Drosophila melanogaster: one gene and its partner. The protein of the gene in region 1 interacts with the protein of each later gene in a biochemical or structural test. Each region holds a gene or a part of one and is shown on either strand. Other genes may lie near its edges.

Evidence for each region.
Region 2: the proteins of Taf1 (region 1) and Taf4 form a complex in vitro, tested with the Drosophila melanogaster proteins (one study listed by BioGRID).

Annotation. Positions count from the first base shown.
Region 1 is NT_033777.3:6,644,845-6,650,125, forward strand, and holds the start of Taf1 (TBP-associated factor 1), read left to right. Parts: upstream 1-2,044; 5' UTR 2,045-2,145; coding exon 2,146-2,327; intron 2,328-2,449; coding exon 2,450-2,757; intron 2,758-2,820; coding exon 2,821-3,084; intron 3,085-3,138; coding exon 3,139-3,350; intron 3,351-3,415; coding exon 3,416-4,041; intron 4,042-4,100; coding exon 4,101-4,481; intron 4,482-4,536; coding exon 4,537-5,251; intron 5,252-5,281. UniProt on the Drosophila melanogaster protein: TFIID is a multimeric protein complex that plays a central role in mediating promoter responses to various activators and repressors. Largest component and core scaffold of the complex.
Region 2 is NT_037436.4:16,111,244-16,116,521, forward strand, and holds the start of Taf4 (TBP-associated factor 4), read left to right. Parts: upstream 1-1,968; 5' UTR 1,969-2,122; intron 2,123-2,546; exon of another isoform or gene 2,547-2,641; 5' UTR 2,642-2,898; intron 2,899-3,064; exon of another isoform or gene 3,065-3,068; 5' UTR 3,069-3,228; coding exon 3,229-3,600; intron 3,601-4,425; coding exon 4,426-4,587; intron 4,588-4,788; coding exon 4,789-5,278. Other genes in the region: Zn72D (Zinc-finger protein at 72D), read right to left, coding at 1-626. UniProt on the Drosophila melanogaster protein: TFIID is a multimeric protein complex that plays a central role in mediating promoter responses to various activators and repressors.

The DNA of each region.
Region 1 (5,281 bases):
TTAGCAACTTGGTTAGGCAAAACAGATTTTGGACACGTCGATAAACGCCAAAAATCTAACAAATTCGAAAAAAATATTTTATTTTAGTTTTGCTATCTATCAATGTTCCATCCATATTTTGATTTAGCTGCGTAGTATCTGATAGTCGAGGTAATCGACTAGAATTTGTTTCCTTATTGGACGATAAGAAATTTTGTACCGTAGGCAAGCTAAGTTTACATACCCTCTCAAGTAAAAACATCTCATGTAATTTTACAATATTGTCCGTATGAACGTGTGACCCTCCATGTCCCCCCATGCCCCGCCATGTCCGACCGTGTCCCAATGACGGGACTTGGCTTGGTGCGGGCTGACACGAATCTCGATCTATATGTGGATATTAGTAAACACATGTATGGAATGTCATGGAGTTCTCCTGATAATCGTGTTGGTGACAGGTAACAGCAGTGCGTTATACAGCGAAACAAGAACTATAGATTTCTTTAAGCATGGAGATGGCATATCCAGAGCCATTCCATTAAATATTCCCCCTCTAGGTAGACCTTTCTAAAAGCTATCGCAGGCAGTAACCCTCTAGTCCTCGTCCTACACAAAAACTCGAATATCAAGTGCGACATTCTGAGGGATTGTACTGAAAAACACAAGATTCACTTTGCTTTTCGCAGCCACTTTCTCATCTTAATGATCATATTCTTTCTGCAACAGCGTAAATACTTGCCACCCATCTCCAAGCTTCAAAGTGGCTTAAGTCCTGATCACGGTCGGTATACGTAAATATACGTATATTTATTTTTATTATATCATTCATTCAGCGTGGATAATTAAGTTTCGAAAATTTAATTTGAGGCATTTTATAATGAAGGGAAATTCCAAAAAGACGAAACACAAAAAAATATTCGATTTTTACTAGTCTACCTTTAAATTTTCCCACTTTGTGGTTTTCCATATCTGGGAACAGAAGCCTTGGTAAAGGTAAGTTATAAAACATATAATTAATTTGAGGTACAATGAAGTCGGTCACGGAAAGAGATTAGCAAAAAAATGTACACAATGGCATTGGTTTGTGTCCTAGAGAAATGCTGCCTTGAATTAAAATGATTCTTTAGAGTTTAAGCCATGAAAACGAATTTTCAGCCGGTTTAATCATCAGAAATACATTTTATAACGAAAATCTATTGAAAAACCATAGATTCATTTGATGTAAAAGTTTCAGGATCGGATTCTTGAAGGTGACTAAATTTGTGAGCTCAGCGTACTCTTCCTTTAATCCGTTCAAATAGTTCAAAGCCTGCATATAAAAATCCTACATTCCCATGCAGTTCTTTGGTACAAATATGACAATTTGTGACAGTACAAATCCCAAAGTTGTGGATAGTCTCTTCGAGATTATCATTAAAACGATTCTCAGCTAGAGAAAGCGCAGTTGGTAAAATCGTTTGAGTAAAACCAAGTTAAGAAGAGACTTCTGAAAATAAACATATATATATTTATAATAAAAAATGAATAATAAGAAATATATAAAAATTGATGGTTTAAGTTTTTGCTATCTGAAGTAGTTATGATTGTTTGCTACAGATTTCTGTAAAATCTGAACAACAATAGAGAAATATAGCTCCTTCAACGTTACAAAACCGTAACACAAATGTAGGTCTGAGAACTGTAATTCTAAATTGGCATTGTAGTGCTTATGTATGCCCATTTTTTCTCCAATGAGCGTTGAATAAACTATTTTTGGCTGAATAAAGTTATATTTTGATAGAAGCTGAACAAAAGTGATCGTGTTAATGGTGTTTACAGAAGTTCTATTCAGAAATATATAATTATACAAATGAAATGTACGAATATCAAAGGAATATATATTTTTTAATAAAAATCCACGTATGCCATACATGGTACAAAATTGCCAATTAAAAATATTACAGAGCCCTTTTTGTTGGACACTAACCTTCGGTACAAAACGCAATTGACCTTCCCAAGCTCCCAACCCTTGTCCAAATCTAATCGCGGATTTTCTGGTGCCAGTGGGGAGCCATGAGGCATCTTTGCTTTGTCCATCGACGGTCACACTTACGCGTGTGAAAAATGCAATTACACTCCGTCGAAGAAAATATACTTTAGCCGCGTAAACATTGCAAGCCCATAGAAATGGAGATGGAATCTGACAACAGCGACGATGAGGGATCGATCGGCAATGGATTGGACTTGACCGGCATTCTTTTCGGCAACATCGACTCCGAGGGCAGACTGCTGCAAGATGACGACGGAGAGGGGCGCGGGGGCACCGGTTTCGATGCGGAGCTCCGGGAAAACATTGGTTCCCTTTCCAAGTGAGTACACATGCTTGTACATACATATGTAAACCCGGTATCATTCAAATATATCTTAATTCACAAGATATAAGACACTTTTAATTACATTTCCATTCATATTGCGTATGGATTACTTTCAGATTGGGTCTGGATTCTATGCTGCTCGAGGTTATCGATCTCAAGGAAGCCGAGCCTCCGTCGGATGACGAGGAAGAGGAGGACGCCAGACCGTCAGCCGTCAGTGCCAGCGAAGGAATGAGTGCCTTTGATGCGCTCAAAGCGGGCGTTAAAAGGGAGGATGGCGCCGTAAAGGCTCAGGACGATGCCATTGACTACTCTGACATCACCGAGTTATCCGAGGACTGCCCACGCACTCCGCCCGAAGAAACAAGCACTTATGATGACTTAGAAGACGCCATTCCCGCCTCCAAGGTAGAGGCCAAGTTGAGTAAGTAAGACCGTAATCTACAACGGTTTGATGACATTTAATTTAACCAGTTAACACTGGTAGGAGAGGATATTGCTCAAATTTTTAAAGGTCTATGCAATTCCTGTCAAAGTGACACGATTACTTTTGCACCGCTCAGGTTGGGTTCAGACCTATTGCTATACAGAGAGAATAACTCACATTTTGTTGCAGCTAAGGACGACAAGGAACTAATGCCTCCACCAAGTGCACCAATGCGCTCCGGCTCTGGCGGCGGCATCGAGGAACCGGCCAAGTCAAATGATGCATCTAGTCCCAGTGACGATTCCAAATCTACCGATTCAAAGGGTAAAAATTATTTGAAAACAATAGAATTTTTTTGTCAATGGTCATTCCTTTAAGATGCGGATCGGAAGCTGGACACACCACTGGCAGACATACTGCCGTCCAAGTACCAGAATGTGGATGTGCGTGAGCTCTTTCCGGACTTTCGTCCCCAAAAGGTGCTACGCTTCTCCCGTCTCTTCGGACCCGGTAAACCCACGAGTTTGCCCCAGATCTGGCGACACGTGCGCAAACGCCGCCGCAAGCGAAATCAATCCAGGGATCAGAAGGTAGAAGATCAGAGTACTTTTAAACGGGACGGGATCACCAGGAAACTTTTCGTAAACCATTTCAGACGACAAACACTGGTGGTTCGGACTCTCCAAGCGATACTGAGGAGCCACGAAAGCGGGGCTTCAGTCTGCACTATGCTGCAGAGCCAACGCCAGCGGAGTGCATGTCCGACGACGAGGACAAATTGCTGGGCGACTTCAACAGCGAGGATGTGCGTCCAGAAGGACCGGACAACGGCGAGAACAGCGATCAGAAGCCAAAGGTGGCTGACTGGCGGTTCGGGCCTGCACAGATTTGGTATGATATGCTAGAGGTGCCCGACTCTGGAGAGGGGTTCAACTATGGCTTCAAGACAAAGGCAGCAAGCACCTCGTCTCAGCCGCAACTCAAAGATGAACGCCGTGTAAAGAGTCCAGAAGATGATGTCGAAGATCCAAGCATTGCGGATGATGCCTTTCTCATGGTCTCCCAGCTGCATTGGGAAGACGACGTGGTCTGGGACGGTAACGACATCAAGGCAAAGGTGCTCCAAAAGCTTAACTCAAAGACAAATGCAGCCGGATGGTTGCCCTCGAGCGGGTCGAGAACGGCTGGCGCCTTTAGCCAGCCGGGCAAACCGTCTATGCCCGTGGGAAGTGGAAGCTCCAAGCAGGGTTCGGGAGCATCAAGCAAAAAGGCCCAGCAAAAGTAATTAATTGAAAGTTGAATTCATACGTATTTTACACTAATATTTCAATCGATTTTAGTGCTCAAGCAAAGCCAGCGGAGGCACCTGATGACACCTGGTATAGCCTTTTTCCAGTTGAAAATGAGGAGCTAATATACTACAAGTGGGAGGACGAGGTAATCTGGGATGCCCAGCAAGTGAGCAAGGTGCCCAAGCCGAAGGTACTCACTTTGGATCCCAACGACGAAAACATCATTTTGGGTATTCCTGATGACATAGATCCCTCTAAAATCAATAAGAGCACGGGTCCTCCACCTAAGATCAAGATACCGCATCCTCACGTAAAAAAGTCTAAGATCCTACTTGGCAAGGCGGGTGTGATCAACGTGCTTGCGGAGGACACACCTCCGCCGCCACCCAAAAGTCCTGACCGTGACCCCTTTAACATATCCAATGACACGTAAGTCTCTTAATATAATAATGGATGCAGAATGCAGATTTTAATTCCCTTTCAGTTACTACACACCGAAGACAGAACCCACCCTACGACTTAAGGTGGGCGGTAATCTTATTCAACACTCGACTCCGGTGGTAGAGCTGCGAGCTCCGTTTGTGCCTACGCACATGGGCCCGATGAAGCTCCGCGCCTTCCATCGCCCCCCCCTAAAGAAGTACTCCCACGGGCCAATGGCCCAGTCTATCCCTCATCCTGTCTTCCCACTGCTGAAGACCATCGCAAAGAAGGCGAAGCAGCGCGAAGTGGAGCGCATTGCCTCCGGTGGCGGAGACGTCTTCTTTATGCGCAACCCAGAGGATTTAAGCGGAAGGGACGGAGACATCGTACTAGCCGAGTTCTGCGAAGAGCATCCGCCTCTGATAAACCAGGTGGGCATGTGCTCCAAGATAAAGAACTACTACAAGCGTAAGGCTGAGAAGGACAGTGGGCCGCAGGATTTTGTTTATGGAGAAGTGGCCTTTGCGCACACAAGTCCCTTCCTGGGCATCCTGCATCCTGGCCAGTGCATACAGGCGATTGAGAACAACATGTACCGAGCGCCTATTTATCCACATAAGATGGCTCACAACGATTTCCTCGTCATTCGCACGCGGAACAACTACTGGATACGGTCGGTGAATTCAATATACACCGTGGGTCAGGAGTGTCCGCTGTACGAGGTACCCGGTCCGAATTCCAAAAGGGCCAACAACTTCACCCGTGACTTTCTGCAGGCAAGTCCAAAGATCTAATCTGTCTTTCAA
Region 2 (5,278 bases), on another chromosome or scaffold:
ACTTCGCAGTAGTGCAGCTGCTGGGGACGTGGAGGTGCCTTCGGACGCATACCCCTTATGGCCGTTGCTCCTGGTATGGTGGCTCCCATCTTACGCTGATACCAGTTATTGGCGCCGCCATTTGGTTTTTGGTTTGGATTGCCCTGATGCTGTTGGGCCACATACATGCTTGCCGCATTGTAGAGTGCTGTATCATAGCCACTGTAATTGTTGCCCGCCGGAGGAGCCGAACTAGGGGGCTTGGGACCACCGTTCGACTTGTCCATCTTGCCCTTGACCTGATTCTTGACTGGCGGAGCCGAGTAGTGCGTCTTGCTGACCGAGGCTGTCGAACCGGAGGCGTTGTAGCTGGCCGGCGACTGCTGATAGAATGTCTTGGTGGCGTCGTATTGCATGGCACTTCGATAGTCGCCGTAGCCACCATAACCCCCCGCCCCAGGGCCAGAGGTGGCGCCAGCGCCCGCTCCTGCTGCTCCGCCATAACCACCCTGTCCGGCGGCCACAGCGGCATTCTGATAGGCGGCCGCATTCGCGTAGGTGGCATTGGTTACCGCCGGGTACGAGACTTGGCCCGTATTGTACTGGGTGCCGCCGTAGTTAAACCCGGCGTAGTTGTTGTTGGCCATTGTCGCGGTGCGCTGCAATTACGAAAATCGAATTTGTTTGACAATCTGTCTGCGGTTTACTAGTTTACCATTGGCATTTGCATTTGCATTTTGGACCTGCCCCCATCCCCACCAAGTGCTCTACTTACATTAGCTGTCCTATCCGACTGACTGTCAATATTTATGGGACTTCGAATGCGGATTTATTCGGGAATTTATATGTGCTTTCCGAGTAATAGCCTGTTTATAGCTGTAAAAGCAAAGTGGTCTTAGTCACGTCATGTTGAGAAAGGAGCTCCCCCCACCACTTTCCCATCCGTTTTTCATCTGCTTTTCTCTATCGATTTTTACCCCGCAGCTTTGGACGCACTTTTCGCGTGTCTGGCCCACATGCGAGTGAGCACACGTGGCGATCTCTTTTCCAACGGCATTTTAGCCCTAGTTGTGCATGGTTAAAAAACAGTTAATGCAAATGGCAATTACCTGAAATCGGTTAAATAAAATTTTTCTTCCGTCTCTATGGGCCGGTACTAGTGTGACCGCAGCGTAATCGGATAATCATACTATGTTGAGCCCGACTTGAAACAAATACCACTTTTTATTTTTGGAAGTTTTTGGAAAATATACCATTACACTATATATGTTGCTTATTTAACGGAATTTGTTTAATATTAAAATTGGTATGGTCTATTTTATTAAGACCGCTATTTGTACGATATGTATTTAACTCGCTCTACAGAATTATTTTGCCCGTTGTGCTGAAGTTTAGCATTTCAAAGATACCGAAAACTAACAAAAATACCATCACGTTGGTGGTGGGGCATGTAGTTCGGTATCAAAGTGGAACTATCGATTGTTTGACCGTTACAAAGTACTACTCCTTCGTTTGAATATATATATGATTTAAGTATATGAGCAAATAGCGTTTAAATATAAAAAAATAATAACATTTTTGAGCATTTTCTTCAATTCTGTAATTACCTAACATTCAGCTTTAAACAGTACTCTAATAATAGTTTTAGTAGTTTCTAATTTTTGAGCGTATTCTTCATTTATTCAATTACCTAACATTCAGCTTTAAACAGTACTCTAATAATAGTTCAAAGGATTTAAAATGTATCGTATTCGAATGTATTAAAATAAATTATTTTGATCCTTAAAAATTGTGGCTTATTACCCATATAAAAACTAATGAGCATATAATTAATTTGGTATGCGGCTAAAATCCGATGGCATCAAAATGCCAGCAAACGTTTTTGGTTTTGAAAATGTACGCAACAAGGCTATAAAAAATCGACATGATATCCAAGTCACTACTTCTTTTCTAGTATTTTAATTCGGTATCGCGTTTAACACGACGATATTGTCGCCAACGGTCACACTGCACAACTCGTCCGTACCTCGGCGGTCCGTAAACAATATTTACTCGGTTTTCGGCTAAATCGCCAGAGAAACGCAACGGGAAATCGTTTAAAATGCGCCCCAGTGCACCGAGTTTGAACGCAAAATGAATTGAAGTGAGTGCATCTGCCACAGGGCCCAGAAAATTTCCCCCGACATTGCAGGCTGTACAAAACCTATACTGAAACACACGCACACAGTCGCACAGACACGGACGTGGGTTTATGCCACCACCCGCTGGCCACTAAAGTAGAAATTACTAATACTACGGCTGGCACGATGCTCCATATTGCCACTGGAGACATGTACAAGATGCATTTGTTTTCTTTTTGTTTTAAATATTTTTATGCGGATTTTCGAAAAATATGAATTTTTCCTAATAGAAATCATCAATTATTAAGTGCTCCACTTTCGAGTTGAACTTTTTTTTAAATTTAGTGCATTCACGAATATTGCGCACTCGCCACCCGCATAAACGAGCGGCATTGCCAGATCGTTGGTTACGTGTTTTTCGCACGCTATCTGGCAACGTCCACCAGCCTCGATTTTCGCTTTGCACGCGCATTCGTGAAAATGGCGGCGTTCTGGCACCGTCGCTGCCAAATTTTTTGTACATCAAAATAATCAAAATAAAGCATTCTTCCAGTGCTCAACAATCAGTCCGTGCGAGCACGCGCGAGTGTGTGTGTGCGCAGGAAAACCCGCCGATCGGGAAAAGTGTAGAAAGGCTTAGCGGCGCAAACAAAAGGCAGCGAATTAGCGAGATAACACACACGCGACAACGACTGCAACGGATGCGCCAGGAGAAAGGCCGACGACAGTGACGGCAAAGGCGAGTGCGAGTGAGCCAGCGCAGCACCAATTCAGCGGAGCACCCGCTTTTTTGGCCAAGGTGAATGCGATTACCTGTGCGCGGCATCCAGGTGTACGCAGCATCTGGTTTATGGCGCACGGCCGCCAGGTAGCCGGCGGTCAGGTAGCACCTCCACCGCCTACCTGTTTCTCCACCGCCTCGAGCCGAATCTTGTATAAATACTAAAAGCGCCTCCCCTTGCATTGCAGTTCGCTTCTGGAGCGCACAGCATGCAACAACTCCGCCAACACCAACACAGGATGTGCGCAACTAGTTGATCGGAACAGGATCGCTCGCCCACACCAACACACAGAAGTCAGTGGAATAGGAGAAACACACTCGCCAATAACATAAACACCACACAGCACGATGAACACCAGCCAGACAGCTGCCGGCAATCGCATCACCTTCACCAGCCAGCCGCTGCCCAATGGCACCATCAGCATAGCCGGCAATCCCGGCGCGGTCATCTCCACGGCCCAGCTACCGAATACCACCACCATCAAGACGATCCAGGCGGGGATCGGTGGTCAGCATCAGGGACTTCAGCAGGTGCATCATGTCCAACAGCAGCAGCAGTCGCAACAGCAACAACAGCAGCAACAGCAGACGCAATCCGTAGGTGCCACCCAAACACAAACCCTAGTTATTAAATCCAACCACCATGCTGTCACCCTGCCGGCGGGTCTAGTCTCAAGTGCACCAGCAGGAATCGTAACCATGACCAAGACCATCAATCAGGTATCCATATTAAAGCTAAACCCACTCTTCGGGCGCTAGGCGATCGCAACTCGGGCGTATCACTTCGTCCAAATCTGATCCCCAATCAAAACCCCCTCAATTCCTCGCTCGAATCGGATAGTAGTGGCCGCACACACTTTGGTTGTATACTTTTATTATGCTTTCATCTGTCTACCTCGCTGCCCGAAATTCCCATATCCTTATCCAAATGGGGTTAGTCCCAGGCTTGATAACGTATTTTACGCTTAAAAAATATCCTTAATTCATTAATGTGAAATCTGAAACTTATATCTGAGTTGAAATCTGAAACTTATATCTGAGTTTGTTGCACTCATTTTTGTACTTTTATTTAAAATTAATTTCTTTTTTTACGAATGTCATATCAATTCACTTCATTAGAACTTAAAGCAGTTTAATCACCATAAAAGACATATCTTTAATTTGAAATACTTTATCCCAATGCCGAAAAGTTTCCCAAAGATCAAATCCCTAACAACTGTTCAAAAACACGCACTTGTTCAACAGAAACCTTATTCTACACCAATATCCAAACCATTACATTTGTAGAACTATTGCTTTCAATGCTCGCTTTAAATAGAACAAGATATAGTAGATTATACGCCTTCAAATTTGGTTAGCACAGAGAGAATCAGTTAAACAACTTATTTCCGCACTAATTGGGGTCCTTTGCCGAGCCAACTGCTGCATGATGTAGGCTAATTTAGAATCCCGCAAAACCTCTTAATGCATCCTTTGGTCCAAATAGACTTTGAAAATGTGATGAGATGAATTGATAGACTAATGATAATGTTGCGTATTTGCCAGGCCGGTCAACCGCTGCTCAATTCAATGCTGCCGGCTGGCGTGGTGGTGGGCATGCGCCAACAGGCGCCGTCACAGCAGCAGCAGAAGAATGTGCCCACCAACCCGCTCAGTCGCGTGGTGATCAACTCCCACATGGCGGGCGTGAGACCGCAGAGTCCATCGGTGAGTATGAAGGATAATATTGCTATTACTATGGTTGTTGTGGTGGGTTCTTCCCTACTAACTCACAGAGCTCCCTAACCCAGCCACGCTCCTCACAAACACGCATGTGCACAGCCCACCATTCACTCACACCATACACCATACACACCATGCTCCAGCAGATGAAAACCGAGTCTCTCTGTCTTCTCTCTCTACTTTTAGATAACTTTAAGCACACTTAATACGGGTCAGACCCCGGCATTGCTGGTCAAGACGGATAACGGATTCCAGCTGTTGCGCGTGGGCACGACGACGGGTCCGCCGACGGTGACACAGACTATAACCAACACCAGCAATAACAGCAACACGACAAGCACCACAAACCATCCCACAACCACACAGATCCGTCTGCAAACTGTGCCGGCTGCAGCTGTAAGTAGATACCAACAACAACAACAACATCAGCAGCAATCGCAACAGCAGCAACAATCGCAACAGCAGCAACATGCAACCAGCACAACCGCCAGCACTAGTATTGCACTGCGCAAAACGATTGTCCGTACATCATCCACAGTCCCATCCAGCAATAATAACAATAATAGTATCAATGCCACCACCAACACCACCACCACCACCACTACCAACAACAACAACAAACCCGCTACTAACCAGCAACAGCAGCAGCAGAAGCTCCAACAGCAGCAACATCTGA